Linked DNA regions of Arabidopsis thaliana. The protein of the gene in region 2 interacts with the protein of the main gene of each other region in a pairwise test. Each region holds a gene or a part of one and is shown on either strand. Other genes may lie near its edges. The genes, in order: G1, AT5G42370, AT1G03660 and AT3G01360.

Region 1 (3,952 bases), on a different chromosome or scaffold from region 2:
AGTGGGCGTAAGGCTGATGTTATCGCTGCCGCAAATACTGCAGCTGATGTTGCTCTAAGGCTCGTACGTCCTGGAAAAAAGGTATCATCAGTTTTACTCTTACATTAAACTTGAAACTATAGGCTTTTGGTACTATAACTGCCTCTTGAATGATTGTCAAGGTTTTACAAAACCCAGATGATGAACACTTAATAAATGGCTATGGATTATTATCCATATGATGCTTTTTTGTCATAGTTACTCTGATGGGATTTTTCTTATTCTGATTTTTAGTCTGATCCCTCGTTGGATTTACTATGAGATGTTGGAACTTTGTCTAAGGTTTTCCTCTCTTGGTCTTGCACGATGCTTTTTTTTTTTAGCGGACTTCAAATGTAAATTGTTTTGGGAAAAGATTTCTGGATGAAGACCGTAATTGTTATGGATTCGCATCCAAATGAGGCCGTAGTTACTCTGATGTGGGAAAGTTCTTTAAAATAAAGTTTCTTGCTACGAGTTTGTAGTTTCTTGTTTAGTACTACAACATATTGCAATCAAGACATTGATATTCTGTTTTTCTTATCGCAGAACACTGATGTAACTGAAGCTATTCAGAAGGTAGCTGCAGCTTATGACTGCAAAATTGTTGAAGGTGTTCTTTCCCACCAGCTGAAACAGCATGTGATAGATGGAAACAAGGTTGTGCTTAGTGTATCCAGCCCTGAAACAACTGTTGACGAAGTGGAATTTGAAGAGAATGAAGTCTATGCAATAGATATTGTGGCAAGTACTGGTGATGGCAAGGTAATTTCTTTTGTTTATCGCATCCCGATCACTATTGGTGAACCTTTGTCTATTGCCATTGTTCTCACAATCTTTGACTTTGCAGCCAAAGCTATTAGACGAGAAGCAAACAACTATTTACAAGAAAGATGAAAGTGTTAACTATCAGTTGAAGATGAAGGCCTCCAGATTCATAATCAGCGAAATTAAACAGAACTTCCCCCGTATGCCATTCACTGCAAGGTGTCTTTTGTACCTTCTGAAGCATTTTATATTCCTTAAACTATTATCTCACTTGCTAACGTTACCTGAGAGTATTATCAATACAGGTCACTGGAGGAGAAAAGGGCACGGCTTGGACTTGTGGAGTGTGTGAACCATGGTCATTTGCAACCATATCCTGTTCTTTACGAGAAGCCTGGTAAGGATGATGAAAGGGTTTTGAATCTATAAACCTCTTTTATCTGAATCTTGATATCAAGGCTCATGTCGTTTTGGTTTTCTACCAGGGGATTTTGTTGCTCAGATTAAGTTCACAGTTTTGCTGATGCCAAATGGATCAGATAGGATCACTTCACATACACTTCAGGAACTTCCTAAAAAGACCATCGAAGACCCTGAGATCAAAGGGTGGTTAGCTTTGGGCATCAAGAAGAAGAAAGGTGGTGGAAAGAAGAAGAAAGGTAAGAACTTAAAATAAATTTCCAGACTTTTACCTTATATGACGTGATCCACATGTTGATTAAAAAGGTTCAATTTGGTGTTTTGCAGCCCAAAAGGCGGGAGAGAAAGGAGAGGCTTCAACAGAGGCTGAGCCAATGGACGCAAGTAGTAATGCTCAAGAATGAGTAGGAAGATTTGTCTTTGTTTCTTTTAAAGAATTTTTGAAACTTGAGGTACCTCTTTCGTTGTATGTTTGGGTTTCAAGAGAGTCTCTTCTTAAACAAAAAAAAACAAACAATAGTTTACCACCTTTGTGCATATTTTTGCACAAAGCACTTTTCATCATCATTTCTTTGCTTGTCCTAATCTTATCTCATTCTCTAATCAAAAATACTTATCTGGTTTCAGGCTATAACAATAACTCTGTTTAGAAACACTTGTTACCAACAAACTACTCTTTGAATGTGTTTACGTGGTAAGGATTTGATCCCACAGAAGAGAAATATTTGTGACAGAAGAAAAAAACTCAGCTCTTCAATAATCGAAGCTTATACAGATTTTTGGATTGGTTGATTTTGAGATTGTAACGAATAGTAATCAGAATTTCACTTAAGAAATTGTGATTGAACCCTCTAAACCACAGAGAGGGTTCTTGACGTGGTCCATAGTTCTTCAGTGGGGCGGCTTGTGGCTTCTTTTTCATTTTTCCAGAAAACCCCATAAACCTCTCGCTCTCGGGAATTTGATTGATTCCCACGAGGAAAAATCAATCTTCCCGGAAAATGGCAGCTAGGTTATTGTTCCGTCGAAGTTCTCAAATCCTCCGATCAATTCAACGAAATCCTCAAATCTCATCGTCATTCGAATCACCACCTTGCCCGATTTTTCACTCATTGACCACCGCCTCACCAGATCCATCGCGATTATCATCCTTAACCTTCCTCCGATCTCTCTCCATCGCTCGTCGCGGTCCAACACGTCCTAAGAAAATCGATATCGGAGCCAAAGCGCGTCAGATGCAGAATCGCCGTTTATGGACCTACGCGCTAACCTTCAGCTGCATCGCCGGATTCGTAGTTATCGTCCTTAACCAATTTCAGGATCAGCTTGTCTTCTACCTAACGCCATCAGACGCTATGGAGAAATTCGCAGAGAATCCAACAAAGAACAAATTCAGACTCGGTGGTTTGGTTCTAGAAGGTAGCGTTGCGCAGCCGGCGGCGTCACAGGAGATGGAGTTTGTGATCACTGATCTGATCACTGATATTTTGGTTAGGTATAAAGGATCTTTGCCGGATCTGTTTAGGGAAGGTCATTCAGTTGTGGTTGAAGGATTCATTAAGCCGTATACAGATGAAGTAAGGAAGGAAGTTTCTACAAAACCTATTTCGAAGAAAGCTAGGAACCTCGATTGTTTCTTCTCGGCGACTGAAGTTTTGGCTAAGCATGATGAGAAGTATATGCCACAGGAAGTTGCGGCGGCGATTGAGAAGAATAAGAAAATTATTGAAGCGGCGGCGACTGAACAAGCTGCTGAAGTTGCGGCTTCTTAGATTGGTATAAACTTCATTCTTTTTAAGTTAATCAAAATTTTCCCCAAGTTCGAGCTTTTGGTGAGTATTGTTCATCTTATAAGGTTATATTTGATTATAGTTTCTGGAAAAGAGTAGGAAGATTGGAATGTTATATTCCTGGAAAACAGAGATTTGATTTTTGAGTCTATTTGAGAATTAAGTGGAGAAATGTGATACACTATACAATAGCTTTGTTTGATTCCACAAAGCTATAAGCTAATCTACTTTCTTGTTGTGTTGATCAAATAAAGAACACTTTGACGAGGGATCAAATATGCTGCTTGATTCATTGTGTTGTTGGATGTTTTGTTTGTTGTTGATGTGCACACAGATTAGAGAAGCTATGTTTTGTTGCTGCACACAGATTAGATTGATCTAGTGAATCTTATTAGCTTCATCAGGTCGTGGGTATATAATTGTAAACGTATCACCAAAGTTGTAGCTTGTGTGACCTTATTCTTATCATGACTAGGTACTATAGCCAAAAGAGTTGAACATACAGGTCTTTCAGAGCTTCCTCTTAGTTGTTCTGGAGGTTCCAAGCTCTTTCTTTGTTGTTTTATAAATATGGGTTGAGCTTGTTGACAATCTTGAAGATGGTCATGCATTCCTTTTATGCATCTTATGTTTCAACTAGGCAATTCTGGCCCTGGAGATTTCAAGTTTGTACTTTCTGAGTCGATTAGGTGCCTAGTTTTTGCCTCTAGAATCATGGCATTGGCTTCTGTTTTGGCACTTCTCTTAGGCTTGTTGGTTGATAACCAACTACTAGTCTACTAATGTAGCTGTAGTTTGAAGTGTTCCGCAGTTACGCTATTGCTTTTGCTTTTTTTAAGTGCATCTTTATATATGCATCAGTCTCTCATTGTATAGCAAATTTATCGTGGGTGGTATATGATTCAGTCAACAAAAACTGACTATCAAGTATGGAACGAGTGGTATATGATTGAGTC
Region 2 (5,728 bases):
ATCATTTTCCACAGATAATCAACCTGCAAATGCAAATCAATCAAAGCTTCTTCAAGTTGTATACAATCTCATGAGGCTTGCGATGATCAAAAAGCATTATAGTGAGATCCGCTTATTCTACCAACCACTCGATTAAAGATTAAACATGTAAAAAGCCTAACTCCAAAATTCCAACGAAGTAACTCAAAGAAGCCTACAAAATTAAGTTTCACAATCAAACTACAAGACGCGTCTGCAATTTCACACAATGGACGAAATTCAACAAATTCGAAGAACAATTTCACTCACATTGAGCATATCACCCAGAAGTTTCGAAAAGAGATTCATCCATCGACAGAGTTGCTTTCCCAAATCCAGAGCATCTTCCCCAGAAATCACCGAAGAAGATGAAATAATTGAGACCTCGGAGACCTAAGATTGACGCATCGATTTCCCACTTTTCCCTTTTTTATTTTATTTTAAATAGATCATACTGCAGAAAGCGGAAGCTAAAAAAATAAATAAAAAACAAAAAAAAAATAAATGGAAATTAAGCTGACTCAATTATGGGTCAATTGCAAGAATATCGCTTTTTCAATAAAATAGTAAAAAATTAACCTCATATTACTAATTAACATCAGATTTGGGAAGTATAGTGGATCCTATCGGTAACATACAGCTGTTCAAATCTTAACTGTTAACGGTGATAAAAACTTTTTCGGAATACTGCAAAGTTGTAAAAAAATAGTTGTACGAGAAAGCTATATAGTAATAAAGCTGAGAGTAAAACTTTTTGTAACGCTTTAAAAAAGCTTTTGTAATTAACAGAAATAAAAGCGGTACAAATTGTAATACTTTGTTTTTGTTCACCAATCAAAGCCAATATACTTTGTTTTTGTTCACCAATCAAAGCTAGTATCCGTTTTGAGATCATTACTGAAATTATAAAAACTTTAATTTGTTTAATTTATTACAAATAGACAGTGAAAACCTTCATATGTAATAAACGATAAACCTTGGTTTACAATAATAAAAGAAAAAAGAAACTGGAAACTATAATGCTATTGCATGTAGTCTAGAATTTAACTTGTGTTCACAAACATTCTCTTTCAAAGAAGTTTAATTAATAACAGCTCAAGCTTAGAATTCCCATCACAAGATCAAAATCCATGTGTTCAACAATTTTTAACATTATAAGCTACATCCGAATTGTAATCCCTGAATAATCCAACTAATACAGATTATAAGTCATAAAGACACTTTTGTTGGACCAAAAAAAGTTGATTAATGTCATCAACAATCAATCGACCTTGCATTTATAAACGCATGCTGTTATGGCCAATACAGCTCCAATGATAAGTCCTAATATCGCCATTGCCAAGACTGTCGAACCCAATCAAACAACGTATATATCAGTACTCCGCAACATTCTTTCATCATGACCAACCACAGTGAGGAAGAATGACATACCAGCAATGGTGAAGTAGATGAGAACTGCCAATCGGTATCTGGTCGTTCCTGGTAATTCAATTTCGAGTGTGCAATATCGTTGAGACTTTCCCTTAGTTGTTGTATCTTTTAAAGAATTCGAGCCTCCTGGTTGGAGTTCAGATAATGAAACATTCGTGCCTAGTACAGTGTCTCCGTTAACATCTCTGATCTCGAGCTTTATGGTAACCGGATTTGCATTCCAATCTATCGATATTGCTCCAAAATTTTGTTGTCCTGCACGTAAGTTTAAGATATTGTAACCAATGTAATCATACAAAAGAGTACATCGCTGCTCTGTTAAATCAACTCACAACAGTTACAGTCTACTATATTCCGTCCTAGGTTAGTGACAGTAGAGCTATAGAGCTAAAGTTGGAACTTAAAGTAGACTCACTGTGTCTTGGCTTGTCAATAAATCTTTCCACAGTTTATCAGAAGAAAACGTAAAAGGAATCAAATTGAGAATAATACCGTATGTGCAAGATTTGAATTTGCAGTTATCATTGATAACTCTCATCGTGCTTGGAGTATACCAAAAAAGAAGCCTAACTATGGAACGCAAGGGACGAGGGACAACTTTCTCAACAGATTGTACTAGACCACTGGAGGTGACATCATATAATGGGTACCCAACAGAACAATCATATCTCGTGATTTCTCCAAAATGTACATCTCCACTGATGAATATAACTCCATCTCTCTGTAATGTCAAAGCAACGAAGAATTATGGGGACGAGGAAAGAAGAAAACTGACAGTTGGAAACATTACTGTCAACAATCCCATACCTTAGTATCTGCTATCAGTTTAAAAAGACGTTTCCTTTCCTTTGGAAAACGACCCCATGATTCCATATAAAAGAGAGGTCCAGTGGTAGCAGAAAGATTTGATATCACCTGGACAAGTTAAGAGACAACAGTTCTAGATGGAATAAGACACTCAGGCTTCATCAAGTTTAAGTCCATGGCCAAACTGGAACAGGACACAAAAGTCTAATTTGCAGATACCTGAACAGAGGATCCTATGATAGTGATTTCGCTTCGGGGACCGCTCAATTCATTTTCGAGCCAGTCCCACTGCGTATCACCCAATATGCTCCCGTCACTTCTTAAAGGGTCTCTATGATATCTAGTATCTAAAACTATAACCTGAAGGAGATACACAACTGTGTTAAATCACATATAAGCTCTTCATTCTAAACTTAACAAAACTACCAAAGAAGACAAGAGTTTCTGTTAATACCTTAACTTTCCGATTAGGCGGACCATAAGTATAAGAAGCATAAACACCAGCTTGCTTTCTCCTAGGACTATCAAGAGGCTCATTCAAGAAATCAAGCATAAGTTTTTGGTTAATGACTTTACGATCAAACTCTTTTCCAGCGTCATTCAATCCGTAATCATGATCATCCCATGTACCAATAACCTTAGCTTTTCTCTGAATACGAGAATATCCAGGATTAGCTTTGGCTTTAGCGTATCTTAGTTTCATTTCTTCCTCTGAAGAAGGTACAAACCTCGGTGAATTCCTCCATGGCCCAAAAGTTCTCTCTTTCCCAATGACTGTAAGTGGTCTTCTTATATCTCCGTAGATGTTATCACCCAACCAAATAAACAGTTGCGGATCAAACTTGTTTATCGCATCCCATATCGGCTAAAATGTAACAAAAATACAATGTTTAACATAGTATGCAACACAAGCTTATATCATCTAAGAGAACATCGGCTAATTAAACAAAAACCATAATCAGCTCACTTAAACACCAGCCAAACAGAGCAGTCTTAAAACACTGAATCCAGAGCCAAGTAGGGGTTGTACGATTGATTTACCTGTGGAGCACTTTGATTAGCGCATGATCCGAAGGCTATACGAGTGATAGGAGTCTCTTCTGCAGCAATCACCACCGTAAGGAGTAAAGAAAGGCACCAGAAAGAGATTTGGTTCATGACGATGTGGTGAATCGAAGAGAAAACCCTAGAAGCAACCGTGGAAAGAGGAATCTTCAAGTTTTCATTAAAAGATCCACAAGTTTTGGCTCGCCGCAGATTCGGTTCCGGCGATTTTCAGTTACCGTTGGGATTTTGATAGACAGAGACTGTAACTTTTTCTACTTTCTTCTCGTGGCTTTGATTTTTAATAGCTTTACTTTTTCTTTTCTTCAGATGAAATTTCTATTGCCTGGTTTTATGAATCTTTTTTCTGGGTTCCAAACAAAAAGTGAATTTGTGAAATATCCGTATTATTTATAATTATGGAATGACCATTGAATTTTTTTGTAGATTTGTTTAACATATGCAATGATTTTTTAAATATGAATATTAATTACTTGAGAAACAAATATCTACTACATATTAAAAATGAATTTGTATTTTCCCCTTTGAATAGAAATCAAATTCACTATATGTGGCAAATAGATTAATTCATTTTGATTTGTATTACATAATTTAAATTGTTTATCTACTACTATGTGATGATAAATCCATTTAATATGTGTTCTTCTATGAAAACTTTATCCGACCAAAAAAATAATTTTATGAAAATTTTATTCCAATTTTCTAGATTGTATAAAATTTCCCCGGAACCATGCAAATTCAGAATTTTTTACACTAGAGACTTCTACGGATGGCAAAATTGTGAAGTGTAATATTGTTTTAGACATTAAGAAACAAGTTTCGAAGCGGATCGTTTTAGTTAAAAGGTTTACAAACAATATTATCTCTTATTGAATAGAAAAAGTGAATTGGTGCAATAATTATGTATCTGTTTGTAACTGTAATTATAGAAACATCCAATAATGTGAATCAATATCATTGTTCTAGCATAATAAAACTGTAGATTTACAAACGTCAAACGATATGAAATGTTTTACCGACCTCTACCAAAAAATGAGTGATGTGAGAATATACGCGCGTTATCGGTTGTTTCTCACTCACCTAGTGACATTGGTCGAGCGGCAAATGGTGGTGATGACTGGCCTCTTTTACGACTCGCAGTTTTAGATTTTAGTCCCCTTAATTGGGTATTCTCAGTTATGGGGAGACATATAAACACATTTTGTATGTTTTGACAAATTCAGAATATCAAAACAAGACACGTTTATTATGAAGTGTGTTAAATAATACAAATAGATTAGATGAGACACAAATATACAAAGGAATAAGAATCTCTCACAAAAATAATAATTGAATGAATAAAATTTTGAGGAGGGAAGGAAGATGTCCCAATCCCATATATATCATCTCAACGCATCATCAAAACAAACTCGTCAAAGCTGAGAACTCCATCGTCATTCTGATCAAACCCACGAATCATAACCTTACAAGCATCAACCGTACACGACTCGCCGAGTCGACTCAACGTCCTCCGTAAACTCGCCGCCGTAATAAACTCTTCCCCCTCCATAACATACATCCCAAACGCTTCTTTCAACTCCTTCCTCCTTTCTTCATCACTACCATCTTCCCCTTCCATAAGCTTCAAAAACTCCTCAAAATCTATAAACCCGTCTCCGTCAACGTCTGATGTCTTCACCACTTCCTCCACCTCACGTGACGATAACGCGCCGCCTAAGAGACTAACGCAGCTTTGTAGCTCTTCACCGGAGATTTTCCCGTCTGAGTTTGCATCCATATAGTCAAAAACGGTTCTTAGCTCGTTAACGTTTAACGAGCTGCTTCCGCTACTATTACTGCTCGTTCTTGATTCGTCTTCAAGGTTTCTTGACGATTCTGATCTCTTCGAGGAAACTTTCTTGTATAGTCGTGACAATGATGATTTTTGGTTCTTAGCGAGAGTCATTTCTTGATTTGAATATGAATCTAGAAGATTTGGGAAATGGATTTCTGATGCAAATTCTTTTCAAGAAGTGGTAGATTATATATAGATGAGTATGTGAATGCGTGTAATGGTGGAGAGATTCTTGATTGTTCGACGGTTAAAACACGGGTTTGAATATTTTGGTGTTATTATTTAAAGCTAGAGGCGGTTGCGCGGCGGTGGCCGGGAAGTTTCCTCCGCAATGAGTGTTTGTGGGGAAAGGTCAAGTTGACCACGACTAGGGGTGTTTTCGTAATAATGTGATGGTAAGTTTTTCTCACGTATTGTGTGAAATGTGATGTCATATCGACGACTAGATTAAGAAAAGTAGCAAACCTTCTCTTTGACTTTGATTGAGTATACGATGTGCGGACACGTGGTTTTGGTCTTTTAAATTGTTAAACTGTCATGAAGTTTCATATAACCGTCCAGATATGCTCCACG
Region 3 (5,150 bases), on a different chromosome or scaffold from region 2:
AAACCCGTTGCACCTTTCTGCTTCTGCACTTGTCGATAGCCGCTCTCAACAATGCTTCTCCATGACCTTGTCTTCTGCAATTCTCCTTCACTACATGATTCCAAAACAACAGAAGAAAGTAAACTTGGGATACATTCTTCCTAATGTTTTTGCTCTTAACTTGCCTAATAAGAAAAATTCCATACGTGTTCTTGACTTATGAGCTATCTCCATTAATCTTTAAGCATGCAAAACCAAAGCTAGAACAAGGGCTTTGTCTAGTCAGAATTTCTATTGAAAGCTCTCGAATTTACCAGAATCATTGGTCCTTGACTATATAATAATCTACAGGTTAATTTATCAAATGGTTGAAAGATTTTTCAGTAGAAGTTTGGCAGAATAATTCCACTTCTTCTCTAACGAAATTATATTTTCTGAATTTTATCACTGAGTAATTTCATCGAACAGTTGGCGGACGTTTGTCTATACCTGCGAGCTTGGTGATTGAAGCGGAAAGCGAAGATGGCCAAGAATACATGGCATAGCCTACTGTGTCTCCTTCAGCATCCACGTATAGCAAACCGGCGTTTTTCTTACGCAGCTCTGCATCGAAAGTTTGAGCGAGAGATTCGTGTTTAGGGAACGTTTTCTTCTCCAGCTTCACGATATCTTCCACAACTTTGGCCCAACTGGTCGACCCTCTAATCAGCTCTACCACAACTCCTTTGTCCATTGTACAAAAGATTCGATTTTGTGGAATCTCTCGTTGGTTTCGCAGCCGGTGAGAGCGAGTGAGCCAAGGAAATTGTGATTTGATTTTGATGAAGGTGCGTAGCGACGGCGGGGACGACTTTTAGAAACTATTTGAAATTGTGATTTGACCCACAAATTTAACTTTTGTGACAATTTAGTCCCCAGAAACAGAGGAACTGTATCAGAGACCACACCAAATTAAAAGACAACATATTTGATCAATCACTGTGAACGAACTTATGAAAGATTGCAGATAGAAACAATCAAGAGCTTGAATGTGTAATGGAAAATGTTCACAAACCTACATACACATCACTTATGTGCTTTGGAGCTAAAGACATGGAAGGAATGCCATGGAAGGAGCATCAATACAAGACAAACTCCAAATGCAAATGCAACAACCATAGACCAAAAAGCAAACATGATAAGTACCATGGCTCGTTTCATAGCTTGCTGTATCAGAGGAATATCACCCAGATGTTGTGGCCAAATAAGATTCATTGTAGCTATGACAGACAAGAGCACTGGAATGCTATTGCAAACCAGAAAAACTATGAACACTGCTTTCTTGACCAAACCTGTGATGCCTAAATCTGGAGCAGAACTGGTGTAGATCTTTGTAAATGTGAAACCCATAACAAATGTCACAACTGCTACAATTGTTGTACCACCATAAGCAATAAGATACGTTCTTGTAGTTTAGATATTCTGGGACGCTGTGAAGCACTCAAGAGAATTGGTTGTGTACCATTTGGTGAACTAGCAGATCCCAAAGCCATATCCAAGCTTATTATATCTCTGAAAGATTGAATTAAACGAGACATGATGATAGGACTTCACAAAAACATGTTTTAAAAAGCAGATTCAGAAATTTTATCATAAACTTACTCTCTTTTTCCAATTGAAACCCAAAAAGAATAGTTAGAACTTAAACTTGAAAATACACACTCAAAGATTACCTTAAGACGCTTTGAAATCTAGGTGATGAAGGAAGACGAAGAAAATAATGTTGAAGTTTTGAACTTGTAGCAACCAAAATATTTAATCCTAACAAGTCATTGACTTAATCAAAATAAGAAAGGAGAAGTCTGGATGTGCGTACCAATCAACGACGATGTTTAGCTTGCCGAGCAAGCAATTAAATAATTGAATTAAGGTCGTTGACTCCAACGCAAAAAGTCGATGATTCAAAGGTTGGGTTTTTGTCTTTATCCAAAACAACCTTATAGTTTTAAAAATATAATTTTAAAAACATTTTAAAATAAAATAAAAATAAGTGTTAAAAATCTAAATTATGTGTAAACTATATTGAACCTAGGACACTTCTAAGGGGTTTGGATGTTGTGTCTAATTAGTTTAACACAATATTTAAAAATTTAACATTTATCCAAAAAAAAACTTATAGTTTCAATAGTAATATAAAAATATAATTTTAAAAACATTTTTTAATAAATTAAAAACAAATGTTAAAATTTTTAATTATGTGTAAACCATATTGAATTTAGGACACCTCTTAGGGTTTTAGATGTTGTGTCTAATTAGTTTACATAACATTTAAAAATTTAATATTTATCCAAAAAACCCTTATAATTTTAATAGTTATATAAAAATATAATTTTAAAAACTTTTTATAATAAAATGATGATAAGTATTAAAAATTTAAATTAAGTGTAAACCATATTGAACCTAGGACACCTCTTAGGGGTTTGGATGTTATGTCCAATTAGTTTACACAAAATTCAAAAATTTAACACTTATCCAAAAAACCTTTATAGTTTTAATAGTTATATAAAAATATAAGTTTAAAAATATTTTTTAATAGAAGAGAAACAATTGTTAAAAATTTAAATATGTGTAAACGAAAACAGTTTGTTAAATAAAATTAAAAACTACTGTTGAAAATACTTTTATTTTTTTGTTGAAAACAAAAACATTTTGTAATTTATTATTTTTAAAAAATGAACGAATAATAGAAGAAATAACTTACATGGAATCGTGTTAAAAAAAAAAAAATAATAATAATAATAATAATAATAACTTACATGGAATAAGTGTTGAATTGTTGATGAACAGTGTTTGTCCACAAATCTAGTAGGCGATAACTTTCAATAGGCTGAAATTGAATAAAACGAAGAAAGGAGTGAATATTTGGTTTAGGGCTAAATTTAGAGACAGTAGACAAAAAAAAAAAAAGAGAAAAGCATAGAGGATTTTGGAAATTACTTACCGTTACAGGTCAAGAAAGAGAGGACTATGACTTTATGAGATTGGTGTTACTGCATCATCCCTAGCCCTAATGGAATTGGACAAGGAAGAACGGTGATTGTAAACGACGATTGGGCCTTGTTCTCTCCGGCGATGACTGGAATCAAACGCCGACGACGTTTATTGTTCTAAATCTTCTTAAACTTCAAACCATCAAAGATAAACATAATCCAAAACAAACCCTATTAAAGATTAAACAGAACAACGAAACTCACAATTAAAAGCAAAAGAGATTCACACCAAAATAGTTTCAGATAACACGTACCGACTGAGTCAAAATCCAATCGATCCATAGATCCTCCGAAGAAAAATAGAAATGAAAGATGGTTTCTTTTGTTTTCGTTTTGCAGAAGAAGAAGAAGAAGAAGATGAATGAAGAATTAGTTATTTTACAAGGAAGAAGAGTATTTATAAGCAAACGTTGTTCAATAGAAAAAAGGAAATTTCTATTGTTTCCTTTTTGTTTTCGACTAGGTTAAGAAAAAGGAAATTTTAATTAGGCTGCAAAAAAAGAAAAGGAAATTTCCTCACAACGGTCATATTTGTATCTTACTGCGTAACAACAATTTATCAAGACAAATTATTTGAGGTTTCTTATTTTTGAAACAGAGAATTTGGCCTTGAAAGCGAGAGGAGCAAAGTCGGGATCATGCATGTGAGCTCTTTGCAACAGCCAACGGTCATATTTGTCTCTGTACCAATTTTTGTGGTTACTTAGTAAAACCACAATTACAAACTCGTGAGATACAAAAACTGTTAAAAACAAACAGAACACTAACCATCCATCATCCATGATACAAAACAGAGCAGAATAGAACAGAACAGAGCATTCTTTAACCATCCATGTTGTTGCTGCCTTCGCTAACAACCAAAAGCATCAAGAAATAAGGAAAGTAGAAGATATGTCTGAGAAAGCCATGTCTTGTAGACGAGAAAGCGTAAGGAATGATAAGTAGCATCAGGAATACCAAGAAGGCTGAATCTATGGCTAATACAAGATGGGAAAGCCATGGGAGATCGCTCACCACAAGAGTAAGTCCAGCCACAGATGCCATCATCATTGATACAACAGCTGTTAACAGAAGTGGTAAAGCTAGTCGAAAAGCTTTCTTTGTCAGAAGTGCATCACCCAGTTGTGCCCATATTAGAGCCATTACAGTTACCACAGAAGTGCACATTGCAATGTTGTTCAACAACAGAAATACCTTAAAATTCAACTTATTGACCAATGCAGCCATGCCTAAATGTGGAGCAGAACTCATGTAACCACCGGGTAATGTCAAACCTGCAGCGAAGGTCACGGTTGCTACGAGTGTTGCAGTCACCATAAGAGTATTGACACTATCCTTGTATCTTTCTGGACTTTGTTTGCTACTCTGTGACACAGTCAAGGGAATCAGGTTTGGGCCATGTGGTGCTCCAGCAGATACCAAAGCCATCCAAATCAATCTCTGTAAACCAATAAAAAAAGTTACATGAGACTTTATCATTAACTACATGAATCTTCAAATTTGACATACCTTGTAAAGTACGTAAGCGTTATTGTCCTTCATCGTCTCAGCAATATCTAAAGCTGTAAAGCCTTCATTGTTGAGTGCTCTGAGGTTAATCCCATCGTTCCATGTAAGCATATTCACAACTATCGGGTATCTGTGTTTAGTGGCTAGGTGTAACGGTGTATTCCCATTGATATCTTGTTCATTCATCATTCTTTTCCCTTCATCAAGTTTTAAAAGATACTTGACAACTTTCGACTTACCAGCTATGGCAGCAACGTGAAAGATATTCTGACATTGATTGTTAAGTAGCTCTCTTGAGTCAGGACAGTGTTTAAGAAACTCCTTAATGATTCTGACATGTCCTTCCTTTGCCGCCATATGAATAGGAGTGAAGCCATCATCATCAGCGACATAACAAAGGCTTGAAGCTGCTTTGTCAAACTCTGCTAGTATATAGCGAATTCCCTCATAACATCCCATTGATGCTCCATAGGAAAGACATGTCCTTCCTTCTTCGTTGCGTAATTCAATAAGTCCTGGATCTTGTCTAAGAACAATACCTAGGATATCTGTCAAAGCAATGACCAAGAAATAATTAAAACATATAAAGAACACTTGGCGTACAAGGTTGAACAAACATAGAAACAAACCTCT
Region 4 (4,992 bases), on a different chromosome or scaffold from region 2:
AACTCTCCTCCACCGTCAGACAATAACGGTCAGGCGGTGAGGGAATGTTGCTTTTATTTATCTTATTTTATAATCGCGTTGTTAATAGAATTGGTTATATTTTGATAATGTTTTGGCCTTCTATTAGATGTCTATGTATATGCTTGATTAAGCAGTCATTAAGTGATAAACTGATAATGGGTATTAACTTGTGCAAGAAAAACTGGTTTAGACGATATATCTAAGGAAGTTATAAGTTAGGTGTTGGGTCATTTTCCGAGTTAAGGAATAGATCAAGTAGACCATCTTAAAGAGTCTTTAAGAAATTAGATACTTGGTCACCGTCCGATTAGAAATTTTCTTTTACCACTAATGGAGTTTATATGGATCCCTTTAATAGTTGGGTTGATAATGGAATTTTGATTAGAATGTTGATATAGTGCTTATAATGGGTCTTATCGGATCTTATAGGCGAAAAAGCTAGCTTAGTGGAAACTCGAAAATCTTCTTTTGTTAGTAGTTTTTAATATATTATTTCTGTTTTTTCTTTGAAGGGACTAGTGGGATTGACATGGACGGCATTTGCTGGGTCACGTTCAGCTACTAAGACTATCTCTTCTTACTTTCTCTACTCTTCACTATGTCTTGTCTCAATCGGTTTAGGCGTCTTAAACCCTTCTCTTCAAGCCTTTGGTGCAGACCAACTCGACCACGACCTCGATAAGAATTTCGATCTTTCCTCGGGTGATCAAAAGGACGCGAAAGCTACCCGAAAGACTCAGTTTTTCCAATTGTGGTACTTTGGCGTCTGCACCGGCAGCCTTATGGGTGTCACAGTCATGGCTTATATTCAAGACACTTTTGGTTGGGTTCTCGGTTTCGCCATTCCTGGTATCGTGATATTCCTGTCGATTTTGGTGTTCATGTCGGGTTGTGGAATTTATGTTTATGCTCCGGGCGCCCGTCTGAAGAAGAAAACAACTACTACACCTTTTGAGAAGATTCTTAAATTCATTAAAGGGAGAGTAGTGAAGCAGAGAAGCATATATACACTTGCAGATGAGAAAGATTTGGATGCTATGGAGCTTGAGTAAGTTCGGAAAAACCACGATATCTCATGAAACTAATTAGTCTTTTAAGTTTTTTAGCGACTAATGATTACCTGTTTATGTAGGCTAGAGGAGAGGCCTCTCTGTAAATGTGAGACCGAAGACATTGAGACTCCTTCAACAACCTCCAAAGGATTGGAAGATGACGAGAGCTCGAAAACGGTTTTCTCTGGAATTGATAATGTTAAGTTAGTGATTCGCCTTTTCCCCATATGGATGATGCTTCTCATGTTCGCGGTTATCTTCCAGCTACCAGCAACCTTTTTCACCAAACAAGGTGTGACTATGAAGAGAAACATTGGGTCCAACTTCAAAATCCCACCTGCAACCCTGCAAAGCACGATCACATTATCAATCATCCTGCTTATGCCATTATATGATAAGATTTTGATACCTATTACCAAGAGAATCAAGAAAAACGGTACAGGTATCTCTGTGATGGAGAGAATGGGAGTCGGAATGTTTCTATCCATCATTGCCATTGTTATTGCGGCAATAGTCGAAAGGAAAAGACTAGCCATAAGCCAAAAGATGAAGACTTTACCTGATTATGATCCAGAAACCGTCCCACTGAGCATCTTCTGGCTGCTGCCTCAGTACATCCTCTTGGGAATCTCAGATATATTCACAGTCGTTGGGATGCAAGAGTTTTTCTACAGTGAGGTTCCTGTAAGAATGAGAACAATGGGATTTGCTCTCTACACAAGTGTTTTTGGTGTTGGAAGCTTTGTGAGCGCCGCACTGATCTCAATTGTCGAGGCTTACTCGAGCTCAACAGGTGACCGACAAAACTGGTTTGCAGATGATATGTCGGAAGCTCGGCTTGACAAATACTACTGGCTTCTTGCTCTTACAAGTACAATAAGCTTTGTAGTCTACATATTTCTATGCAAGTTTTTCAAGAGTAGCAGTGATCAAGGCGATGAAAAAGAAGAAGCCCCTAAATGAAAGAAGAAAAACTTTGATTCCTTTGACACAGTCGACTTAGATAACCGTTTGCCATAAGATTCCACGAATGATCTAACTGTAGTAGTAGCTTTAGAACTAACTAGCAAACCAAAAGAGATAGACAACTGTAAGATTTTTATTCATAAGAAACAGTATCTTATAATATCAAATGCAAAAGATTCAACATTATTATTATCTCGTGTGTTTGATTACATATCATCATTAATCCTCCCATTGACCAACAACATTTCTAAAATGGACAGATTCAAAACAGACAAAAAAAAAAAAGTCTGAAACTTTGATTTATACCTTTAATCATGTGAGCTGTTTCCATTGAGACCAACTTCTTTAGCTACGTTGCTCTCTTCTCGAACCTCGTCTTCTTCATCAGAGTCAAGTGTGAAAGTACTTAAATTCTCCAACTCAGCTCCGAGAGGTCGATATTTAGAATGATCTTGACGGAGATAACCATTCTTGTTAGCAATGACAGAGAACAAACCAGTAGCCACAACTACCATTAGAGCCAAATGACAGTTAAATTGAAGAGTAGCTATAGCTTTTGCTCGGTGATAATCACCGTGTCCTTTGCACTTGATCGTGAAATTGCCTCTGCTCTTCTCGTGAAACGTACAGTTATTAGTGATCAAACCGGTAAAAAACGATACACCCATTTGCAGAAACCATGTTCCTTGCAGAATCAGACCGATCCCACGACCTAATTTCGCAAACCGATGCGTGCTAGAGTCGGATTTGAGCTCAAAAACCGTGGAGAAGACGCAGATGGCAATGGGCACGAGCATGAGATCGTAATAACGATTCTCGATTCCAGAAACATCTTTCTTTTGCAGGTAGAACATTAAGAACTCCTCAATGAAGCCAAAGAGAAGCAATAAAGTTGTAATCGAAGACGGAAGTGCAACAAAGACAGCGTTTTTGGAGTTGACCAGATATGTTAGAATGGCGTAATATAGGAATAGTACTGCCACTGCCACGATCTGTAACTGGATCATTGACCCGACCCGATCGCGAGATCCGATTGAGCTGAAGAAGGAGAAAAACGAGTTCGCAATAAACAGAGACGAAAGCAAAGCTACGGGGATGGAAGATGATCCAACAGATTTTGGCGGCGAAGCTCTGATCTGAGCCATAGGGGAAGATGAATCAGCAGTACCAGAAGATGAATTCGGATCCAGGTTCGATGAGTCCAGTGACTCCCACGCGCCGATTACTGCAAATCCACCGCCGGCGACGGCGTAACTTAATATACCCATGACTCCAATCTTCACAATCTCTGCGAATCAGGTTATACTTCTTTCGAGGAAATTTGGATTTTTCCGCCATTAAAGCTTAACAGAATCGAGCTTCTGATCTGATAAACCGGAAAGATCCGACCCGACCCGAATAACCCAAAATGGGATAGGCTAGTAGCCCAATAACTCAATATGGGCCTACTGGGGTCTTCAAATAGTTCATGTTTAAATATTCTAACCATCACGTGACAATCATGTGACCTCTATGGATATGCTGCTGCTGCATATAGCTCCGCTTGCGTAATCCAGTTTGCTTGGAGAAATGTTGCTTCCACTGTTTCACCAGCAACCATTGATACTTGCCAAAACCTTTCCCGATCGAATTTTCCCGCCATTCCTTGTTCCCAACACCCTAGTTTCGCGACGCAATGTCAGTCGAGCGAACTCCGGCATCTTCTGTAGTTCTGCTTCCGGTCGAAAGACTCTTCCCCAATCGGCTATCCAGAGAATCGCTGAGAAGCTTCGTAGCCTTGGATTCGTGGAAGAGAAGCATGATTCACCGACTAGGAGAATCACGGGAGAAGAATCTGGTAAGAATTCCCCAGGAGAGATATTCGTTCCGTTGCCTAAGCAGCTTCCGATTCACCGGGTCGGGCACACGATTGACACAAGCTGGAGCACGCCTAGTTACCCGGTTCCGAAGCCCGGGTCGGGTACTGCCATTTCAAGGTACCATGAGTTGAAGAGAGTGTGGAAGAAGGAAACGGAGATGGAGAGGAAGAAGGAGGAGAAGGTTCCGTCGTTGGCGGAATTGACATTGCCGCCGGCGGAGCTGAGGCGGTTGAGGACGGTGGGGATTAGGTTGACGAAGAAGCTGAAGATTGGCAAGGCTGGGATTACGGAAGGGATTGTGAATGGGATTCACGAGAGATGGAGGACGACGGAGGTTGTGAAGATTTTCTGCGAAGATATTTCCAGAATGAACATGAAACGGACCCATGACGTCTTGGAGGTTTGTTTGCCTCTCTACTTTTGATTTCATGATAGGGATTTGATAGTAACATTTGACTCTCAATGAAAGATCTATGAACATGTCAACAAATGGCACAGACGGAAATTCATACTTGTCCTGGTTGATTTTACAGACAAAAACTGGAGGCTTAGTCATTTGGAGGTCTGGAAGCAAAATATTGTTGTATAGAGGGGTAAATTATCAGTACCCTTATTTTGTATCTGATCGGGATTTGGCACATGAAGCTGCTTCAGGAGCATCATCTATGGATCAAGGAGTGGTTGATAGTAGAGAGAAACAGAGTATTGCAGAATCTTCTGCCCCGAGTATTACTAATAAAATGGTTAAACCGATGTTGACGCAAGGCGTTGGTTCTCCGGATAAGGTTAGGTTTCAATTACCCGGGGAAGTACAGCTTGTAGAAGAAGCAGACCGTTTGTTGGAAGGATTGGGTCCAAGATTTACTGACTGGTGGGCATATGATCCCCTTCCCGTAGATGGTGATCTTCTGCCAGCCGTAGTACCTGACTACAGGAGACCATTTCGCCTTCTTCCATATGGCGTCAGTCCAAAACTAACTGATGATGAAATGACCACAATAAGGAGACTTGGTAGACCACTCCCTTGTCATTTTGCTTTAGGTAAGCTTGGTTTCACCTGATTTTAGCTTCATTTAGACACGAAAAGATTGTTA

Evidence for each region.
Region 1: the proteins of AT5G42370 (region 2) and G1 interact in a protein complementation assay, tested with the Arabidopsis thaliana proteins (one large-scale study listed by BioGRID).
Region 3: the proteins of AT5G42370 (region 2) and AT1G03660 interact in a protein complementation assay, tested with the Arabidopsis thaliana proteins (one large-scale study listed by BioGRID).
Region 4: the proteins of AT5G42370 (region 2) and AT3G01360 interact in a protein complementation assay, tested with the Arabidopsis thaliana proteins (one large-scale study listed by BioGRID).

What each region holds. Positions count from the first base shown.
Region 1 is NC_003074.8:19,208,919-19,212,870, reverse strand, and holds G1 (transmembrane protein G1P-related 1), read left to right. Parts: upstream 1-2,021; 5' UTR 2,022-2,207; coding exon 2,208-2,978; 3' UTR 2,979-3,356; downstream 3,357-3,952. Other genes in the region: ATG2 (metallopeptidase M24 family protein), read left to right, coding at 1-81, 568-783, 869-1,005, 1,092-1,183, 1,245-1,445, 1,534-1,610. UniProt on the Arabidopsis thaliana protein: Heme-binding chaperone that may be involved in cytochrome c maturation in mitochondria.
Region 2 is NC_003076.8:16,938,050-16,943,777, forward strand, and holds AT5G42370 (Calcineurin-like metallo-phosphoesterase superfamily protein), read right to left. Parts: upstream 3,686-5,728; 5' UTR 3,415-3,685; coding exon 3,298-3,414; intron 3,122-3,297; coding exon 2,711-3,121; intron 2,617-2,710; coding exon 2,476-2,616; intron 2,365-2,475; coding exon 2,257-2,364; intron 2,171-2,256; coding exon 1,865-2,170; intron 1,705-1,864; coding exon of another isoform or gene 1,646-1,704; coding exon 1,450-1,645; intron 1,363-1,449; coding exon 1,280-1,362; 3' UTR 932-1,279; downstream 1-931. Other genes in the region: CML37 (calmodulin like 37), read right to left, coding at 4,709-5,266.
Region 3 is NC_003070.9:910,392-915,541, forward strand, and holds AT1G03660 (Ankyrin-repeat containing protein), read right to left. Parts: upstream 3,418-5,150; 5' UTR 3,263-3,417; intron 3,205-3,262; exon of another isoform or gene 3,141-3,204; 5' UTR 2,960-3,140; intron 2,846-2,959; 5' UTR 2,775-2,845; intron 1,875-2,774; exon of another isoform or gene 1,692-1,874; intron 1,531-1,691; 5' UTR 1,369-1,530; coding exon 1,045-1,368; 3' UTR 919-1,044; downstream 1-918. Other genes in the region: AT1G03650 (Acyl-CoA N-acyltransferases (NAT) superfamily protein), read right to left, coding at 1-90, 469-712; AT1G03670 (ankyrin repeat family protein), read right to left, coding at 3,831-4,448, 4,518-5,065, 5,147-5,150.
Region 4 is NC_003074.8:135,425-140,416, forward strand, and holds AT3G01360 (plant viral-response family protein (DUF716)), read right to left. Parts: upstream 3,308-4,992; coding exon 2,348-3,307; 3' UTR 2,346-2,347; exon of another isoform or gene 2,170-2,345; intron 2,137-2,169; 3' UTR 2,037-2,136; coding exon of another isoform or gene 1,154-2,036; 3' UTR 1,070-1,153; downstream 1-1,069. Other genes in the region: AT3G01350 (Major facilitator superfamily protein), read left to right, coding at 534-1,069, 1,154-2,036; CFM2 (CRM family member 2), read left to right, coding at 3,609-4,298, 4,432-4,939.